Linked DNA regions of Sus scrofa. The protein of the gene in region 2 interacts with the protein of the main gene of each other region in a pairwise test. Links are inferred from orthologs where the notes say so. Each region holds a gene or a part of one and is shown on either strand. Other genes may lie near its edges.

Region 1 (3,749 bases), on a different chromosome or scaffold from region 2:
AGGTTCCTGTTGTCATTCAAGTAAGTGCGTTTTTATTCATTGTGAACCTATTGGTTTTACATTATATTAACAGTCTAAGGAAAGAAGATGTATCTATCATTTCCCACAGTTCCCACCGTTGTTGCTTTTTGACTTCTATAGAGCAACTACACCTGTAACTTTGACATTTGTAACTTTTGTGTTCCTTAAGACCCAGTGTACACTCTGAGCTCTTATGGGTAAATGTGAATTTGCATCTTTAAGGCATGGTTGGCAACCTCTGCCTCATTCTCTTGGGTGCCTTAGCAGCACAGACTTCTGAGTCTGAACACACAGCTTCTCCACCAGAATGTGCGGAGTAGGGAAGTGGCTGGCTACCCAAGAGTCTTCTGAACCCTAAAGTTTGATCATCAGTTTTCAGTTCCTGGAACTCAGGTTGTGAAGATGCTTCCTGGGCTCAGTCTTTAGCAATGAAAATAGCAGATGGCCCCTCACCTGTGAGAAAAGAGATGAGTGAGACTATAGAAATTGCCCCAGACAAGGACATCTGACAGTTACTGAGAGAAAACGTTTACCTGTGCAAGAAACACTTTCACTCGGTTTATGGGAGCCAATCTGCAAGCACAGCGCCTAGTTTCAGCGATCCAAGGAGCTGCCCGCCTTTCCCGTGCTGTCACTTCCGACAGGGTAACGACAAACAGGGCTGAGCACAGCCACGTCTGGTTTTTGCAACCCAGGGCGACATTAACTGATTGATAACCATTTCCCCCTGGAATCAAGCAAATCAGCATTCCACTCCCTGCCTTGTGCCAGAACCCACAGATGAACAAAATAGAGGTCCGAGTCGGAGACCCGCCCTCAGCTCGGGGCTTCCCACCAGAGCAGAGCTGCAAAGGATGAGGCGAGCTTGCAGAAACCAGGCGATGAATACATATAAAGGGAAAGTAGGGCCCTTGAGGAATGGACAAAGAACCGGGACCCTCAGTCGGGGGAAGGCTGGGATCAGGGTTGAATTAACAAAAGATTCAAGGGAGGCTTTTTAATCGGCAGCTCTAAACTGCAGCCTGAGAAAATCAAAATTTGACCGTTTGTTCTTACAAAAGTGGTAAAGTAGATAATGAGTAAAAAATCTTTTTTTCGCCCTGAAAGCGGTAAAGGAAAGCCCCTATTTCCAAGTCCTAATCCTGTAACCGCGGGCGTGGTTCAGGGATGGGCCACCGCACGGCTCTTTCAAACCCCTGGCTGGGCAGTTCGAGGACTTAAAGAACACATCCTAGTTTCGCCCACAGCCGTACTTGGAGAATATCCCATACCGCAGACTCTTTCGTGGATGGACTTGGGATAAAGAGCGCCTACAAGTCAGCAGGAAGGATTCAAGGACCTCGTTAGCCTGAAAGCTGGGACGACAGACTTAGGGAGGCAGGGGACCTGGGCGCCGTTTCTGTTTCTGTAAAAGCCCAGCCGCGGGCAGCCTGGGTCTCCCGAGTCCCCGCGGGGCGCGGGACAGAAGGCGGGATGCGGAGCACGCAGGCGGGCGGTGGCCGCAGGGGAGACGCGCGGGCGCCGGGGCCAGCGCTCAGGTGGAGCGCGCGCCGCTCGGCAGCTGCGCCCCCGCCCCGGGCCCCGCATCCCCGCCCCGCGTTCGAGAACCGGCCCGAGTTGGCGGCGCCGGCCGAGGCGCTGGAGCCGCGCCAGGCGTGGGGTCGTCCGCGCGCCGTGGCTTTCCCGCCCGCGGTACCGAGGCGGGGCGGGGCGGCCACATCCCACCCCTCCCCCTCCCGGCCCGTCACCCTCCAGGCTTCTTCCCGCGCCTTCTTTCCTTCCCGCTTTCCCCGGAGAAACATGGCCGGGAGCAGTGAGGAGGCGCCAGACTACGGGCGAGGCGTGGTGGTAAATGCAAACTCCGATTTCGGGCCGAGTCGCGCGCTCCCCGCGCCTTCCCCTCCCCTCCCTTCCTGGCACCCCCCTCCCCCCGCCTTTTCGATTAAACGCCAGAAATGCATTCGGGAGAGGGCGGCCACGGCTTTGTTCTTCCCTCCGGCGGGATCGCTTCCATCCTCCAACCCACCCCCACCCCCACCCCCGAGCCCAATCTGACCCCACATTTAACATCCCTTCACCCCGTGTTGTCAGTGTTCTCTCCGCCTCCGCCAGGAATCCGCCAGCATTAAGCCTGTGTGGTGCCGGGTCCCCCTCCTGCTGGCCACAGGAATCACCTCTGGGGGCCGGGCAGGTCTGTGAAGACCCCCGCGGGCCGCTCTTGTGGGACTCCTCCTATTGTACTCCCCCCTGACTCTTCCAGTGTAGGCTTCACGTTTTGTTTCCAGAAAGGATACTGAGGATTCTCTAGGGCAGCTAGGAAATAAAGTAGCTCTAGTGGACGGAGTTTGAGCTTTGAAACCTGGGCTCAGACTCCTTTCTGTGGGTCCTCTGCACGAGCTCGAGCTCGGTCGGGACACGCTAGCGCCCCTGGAGCAAGCGCCAGTTTCTGCAAAAGGAAAGCACAGCACGCTGGGCCTGTGGGGCCAGCTGGAGAGGATGATTGTAGGGTGTCTAAAAGTGTGGCGGGTGAGAGGATGTAGGATGCTGGGGTCCCAGACCAGAGGCTCTTTATCCCTGGGAACTGCTCGTAGTCACTCATCACCCGGTGGGCAGCCATCTCTCAGTGTCCTGATTCCAGTCACGGCTTGCCCTGTGGCCCGCCGGCTTCTGCTCGGAAGAGAATGGTTTCAGTGGAAGGTGGTGGTTTTAATGTGTCAGGTTTAAAGTGAACCGGCGGTGAGGAGTGGTGGGTGGGGCTAACTTGCTACGTGAAGAGTCTTTGTTTTGAGATCAGCCTGTGATGAACAGATAATCTGTGGCTGGGACAGGACTAGAAGAGTAGGAAGTTTGGATTTGGAAAGCCCTCACTCTAACCGCCCTGTTCAGGTTGTACTATGTTGCCCAGTATTAATTTCATAGCCGGACCTTACCCTCCTAAAGGAGAAGGCATTCATTTATATAAGCATCCCACTAATGTTGACTGTCCTGCTGGGGTACAGGTAGTGTTCTAGGCTCAGGGGAAACAAGACATAGCCTTGTGTTCCTGAAGCTTACATTTTAGAGGGGAAGGCAGACAAGCAGTGTGAAAGCAAATAAATAAAGAAGATGCTTTCGGATGGTGATGTGTGCAATGAAAAGAAAAGAGATCATGAGATGAAGTGTGATCGCAGGAGGGCCGGGGATGCTGCTTTAGCTCAGACGGTGGGAGTGGCCTCTCTGGATGACAAGAGATGCTAGCTAAGCAGTAGGTAGCCATGTACAGACTCTGAAGAAGGGTTGTCCAAGCAATGCCTATCAAGTGCAAAGAAATCTTCACATTCTAAGAAATCATGGCATCCAGTTTATGCTTTTTTTTTTTTTTAAAGTCACTCCAGGTGCCATGGAGAGGATGGTTAGACCTAGGGATGGGGTGAGTTGGAGGGGGATGAAAATATAAAATGGGAAAATTAAGTTCAATTTAAGAGAAGCTGAGCCTATAGTGCCTGTAAAGCCTACGGTCAGGATGCACAGGAGGCAATTTGAAATTCCTATTTGAAATTCAGGAGGGCGATTGGATAGATTTGGAAATTGTCAATAAATAGAAAAATATCTGATGCTTGGCATTAGAGAGCGATGCCCAGTGAACATGGGGTGGAGCAAGGAAGTAAAACCATAGTTAAGGGTAGAAACCTGGAAAGCCCCCAGTGTAAGAAGCAGAGTGTCTGGGAGAAGGCAGATAGGAAGACTAA
Region 2 (3,749 bases):
GTAAAATAAAATAAAATAAAATAAAAAATAAAATAAAATAAATAAAGTAAAAAAAATAAAATAAAATAAATAAAATTAAAAAATAAAATAAAATAAAATAAAATTCAGGAGTTCCCATCGTGGCTCAGGGGTTGACGAAACCGACTAGGAGCCATGAGGTTGCGGGTTCCATCCCTGGCCTTGCTCAGTGGGTTAAGGATCTGGTGTTGTTGTGAGCAGACGCGTCTGCTACCTACCTGTGGTGTAGGTAGCAGACGCGGCTCAGATCCCGCGTTGCTGTGGCTCTGGCGTAGGCCGGCAGCTACAGCTCCGATTGGACCCCAAGCCTGGGAACCTCCATATGCCGCGGGAGCGGCCCGAGAAGAAAAAAAAAATTAAAAAGGAATTGTACTTCTGAATGTATACAGAATAAGCAAGAAACTGACGCCCTCTGAAGGATGAAGAGAGGGGTGTTTTTTCTTCTTAAATGTAAAAAGCTTTTTAAACGTTTAAAAAGTTGCATCTTCTGCACATATAATTTTAGAATTTCTCTTAGTTGATGGCACCATTAAAACAATACTGTATCGCCCTCTCTTTGTGCCCCCATCAACCCTAAAGTCTCGAAGGGACGCTCGAGGACCCGGGAGAGAGGAAGGCAGGACCCCGGCCTCCCCGCGGCGGCGGCGCGCGGCACACCCCTCCACTCAGGGCAGAGAGGCGTGTCCGCGCCATCCTGAGCAGTGGCCCGTTAGGTTCTAAGGAAGCCTGGACTCCTCCCTTCGTACCAGTTCTCAATCATCTCCTTAATGGCATTAGCCGGCCGCTGGATAACCTCCCCTGCCGCGATGCGGTTCACCACTGTCTCGTCCAACCGCCGGATAACTCCCGGTACCTGCGACATTTTGGCGCCAGAGCAGGCCGTGTAACGGTGAGACGCTCACTGGAAGGGCTTTCAGCCAATCTCCTTAGAGCTTCGCACCCACATCCTTCCAGCAACACTGCTGACGCCGTCCCGTCCCGCCCTCTAGCGGCAACACCACTTCCGGGACAGAGAGGTACTGATTGGGCATCTTGAATGCCAGTCAAGTTCTTAGCTCCATGATTCCTGTTCTCTTAGCCCTCCTTAGGCGGCTTTAGTGCACTTTGCAGCGAGAAGGATATGCGCCTGCGCGCTAAAAATCAGTGTCCGCTCTTCCTATTGGCTCATGCTTGCGGCAGGGGAATACGAAATCTCCAGCCAATAGGAATCAAGGTGCCGGAACCCCAGTGGTTTCCCCAGCTGGGGTGATCTGGCGCAGAGCGGAGTTGGCGCTTGGGGATCGCTCCTGCTCCTCCCCTCTCCTTGCGGCCTCCGGGAGGTCGGCCCAGATCCAGTGGTCTCCCGTGAGATGTGGATGACGCCCAAGAGGAGCAAAATGGAAATCGAGGAGCCTCGGGGTTTCCAGGCCGAGTGGACTCAGCGTTACCTGGTTGTGGAGCCTCCGGAAGGCGAAGGCGCCCTGTGCCTGGTCTGTCGCCGCCTGGTCGTAGCCAATGGCGAACCCGATGTCAGGCACCACTACGAGGCGGAGCACGATTACTACGAGCGGTATGTGGCGGAGGGCGAGCGCGCGGCCCTGGTGGAGCGTCTGCGTCAGGGCGACTTGCCCGATGCCGCCCCGCTCACCCCGGAGGAGAGAGCTGCTCGTGCAGGCCTCGGGCTCACCCGCCTCTTGGCCTTGAAGGGTCGCGGCTGGGGTGAGGGGGACTTCGTGTACCGGTGCATGGAGGTGATGCTCAGAGATGTGCTGCCTGATCACGTAGGCGTTATGGATGGCATTGATTTATCTCCGGAGATCACGCAGCAGAGGGTCCTAGACATTAACCAGAATCTACGCAGTCAGCTTTTTAACCGAGCCAAGGACTTTAAGGCCTATTCCCTTGCGTTGGACGACCAGGCTTTTGTGGCCTATGAGAACTACCTCCTCGTCTTTGTCCGCGGCGTGGGCCACGATTTAGAGGTGCAGGAAGAGCTTCTGACCATCATCAACCTGACTCAGCACTTCAGTGTTGGTGCCCTCATGGCGGCAATCCTTGAGGCCCTGCAAACTGCAGGGCTTAGCCTGCAGCGGATGGTTGGACTGACCACGACCCACACTCTGAGGATGATTGGTGAGAACTCAGGGCTGGTGTCATACATGAGAGAAAAGGCTGTAAGCCCCAACTGTTGGAATGTTATCCATTATTCGGGGTTTCTTCACTTGGAACTGTTGAGCTCCTACGATGTGGATGTTAATCAGATCATAAATGCCATATCTGAATGGATAGTTTTGATTAAGACCAGAGGCGTTAGGCGGCCAGAATTTCAGGCTTTACTAACTGAATCGGAATCAGAGCATGGTGAAAGGGTTAATGGACGCTGTCTGAACAATTGGCTTAGAAGAGGGAAGACCTTAAAACTAATATTTTCTTTAAGAAAAGAGATAAAAACATTTTTGGTTTCAATAGGGGCAACAACGGTCCATTTCACAGACAAGCAGTGGCTTTGTGACTTTGGCTTTTTGGTGGATATTATGGACCACCTTCGAGAACTCAGCGAACTATTGAGAGTAAGTAAAGTCTTTGCTGCTGCTGCCTTTGACCATATTTGTACCTTTGAAGTTAAGCTGAATTTACTTCAGAGACATATCGAGGAAAAAAATCTAACACACTTTGCCGCCTTGAGAGAAGTTGTTGATGAGCTTAAAGAGCATCTTCAAGAAGATGAAAAAATACTTGATCCTGAAAGGTATCAAGTAGTGATCTGTCGCCTACAAAAAGAATTTGAGAGACATTTCAAGGACCTCAAGTTCATTAAAAAGGACTTAGAGCTTTTTGCAAATCCATTTAGCTTTAAAGCTGAATATGCACCTATTTCAGTAAGGGTGGAGCTAACAAAACTTCAGGCAAATACTAATCTTTGGAACGAATACAGAACCAAAGACTTGGGGCAATTCTATGCCGGACTGTCTGCTGAATCTTACCCAATTATCAAAGGGGTTGCCTGTAAGGTAGCATCCTTGTTTGATAGTAGCAAGATTTGTGAAAAGGCTTTTTCATATTTGACTCGAAACCAGCACACCTTGAGCCACCCATTGACAGACGAACACCTCCACGCCCTGTTTCGGATTGCCACCACTGAAATAGAGCCTCAATGGGATGATCTTGTGAGAGGAAGAAATGAATCGAATCCATAAGCTTTTGTAGTACAACACCGAAACACTCAACAAGAATCCAACTCTAAAAGCAAAAATATGTTTGATTTTCAACTTTACTAATTTGGATTGTGGGAGAGTACCATGTTTTTTCACCCAAAGTGAAAAAACTTTCATCGCAGACATTTTTCACAATTCAAATGCTTCAGACAATTTTTTTTTCCTCTTTTCAAGAGGCAGCATGAGACTGAAACATGCAGATACCTTTTTTCAAAACTTGGTGGCAGAGTCATTATCTTTTGCTTTTATGATATAATTGTTTTTTAAAAAGTTCAGTATTAATCATGTGAGTTGAATTAGGAGTCTGTTTTTAAGACGTTTCAAAGAAACTTTAGCTCTTATTTTAACAAAGCGTTGAGATTCTGATGCGTATAGTCTGAAATTATCAACTCCTTAAATGTATGTTTGAGCCAGTTTGCAGAAACTCACATTAACAAGTGCAGAAGTTTCTGAAAAGGAAGAACGTACATACAGAGGAGGTATTTTGTCTAACTATCAAAATGTTTGAGACTATTTTTTTAGACACATTTCTGAGTC

The links.
Region 1: the proteins of EPM2AIP1 (region 2) and PRTFDC1 interact in binary tests that used the Homo sapiens proteins (3 or more experiments, as listed by UniProt). The two-hybrid records come from large-scale screens. The link is inferred for Sus scrofa from reciprocal best matches to the Homo sapiens genes EPM2AIP1 and PRTFDC1.

What each region holds. Positions count from the first base shown.
Region 1 is NC_010452.4:50,364,292-50,368,040, forward strand, and holds the start of PRTFDC1 (phosphoribosyltransferase domain-containing protein 1), read left to right. Parts: upstream 1-1,362; 5' UTR 1,363-1,494; coding exon 1,495-1,869; intron 1,870-3,749. UniProt on the Homo sapiens protein: Has low, barely detectable phosphoribosyltransferase activity (in vitro). Binds GMP, IMP and alpha-D-5-phosphoribosyl 1-pyrophosphate (PRPP). Is not expected to contribute to purine metabolism or GMP salvage.
Region 2 is NC_010455.5:21,876,779-21,880,527, forward strand, and holds the start of EPM2AIP1 (EPM2A-interacting protein 1), read left to right. Parts: upstream 1-1,084; 5' UTR 1,085-1,367; coding exon 1,368-3,194; 3' UTR 3,195-3,749.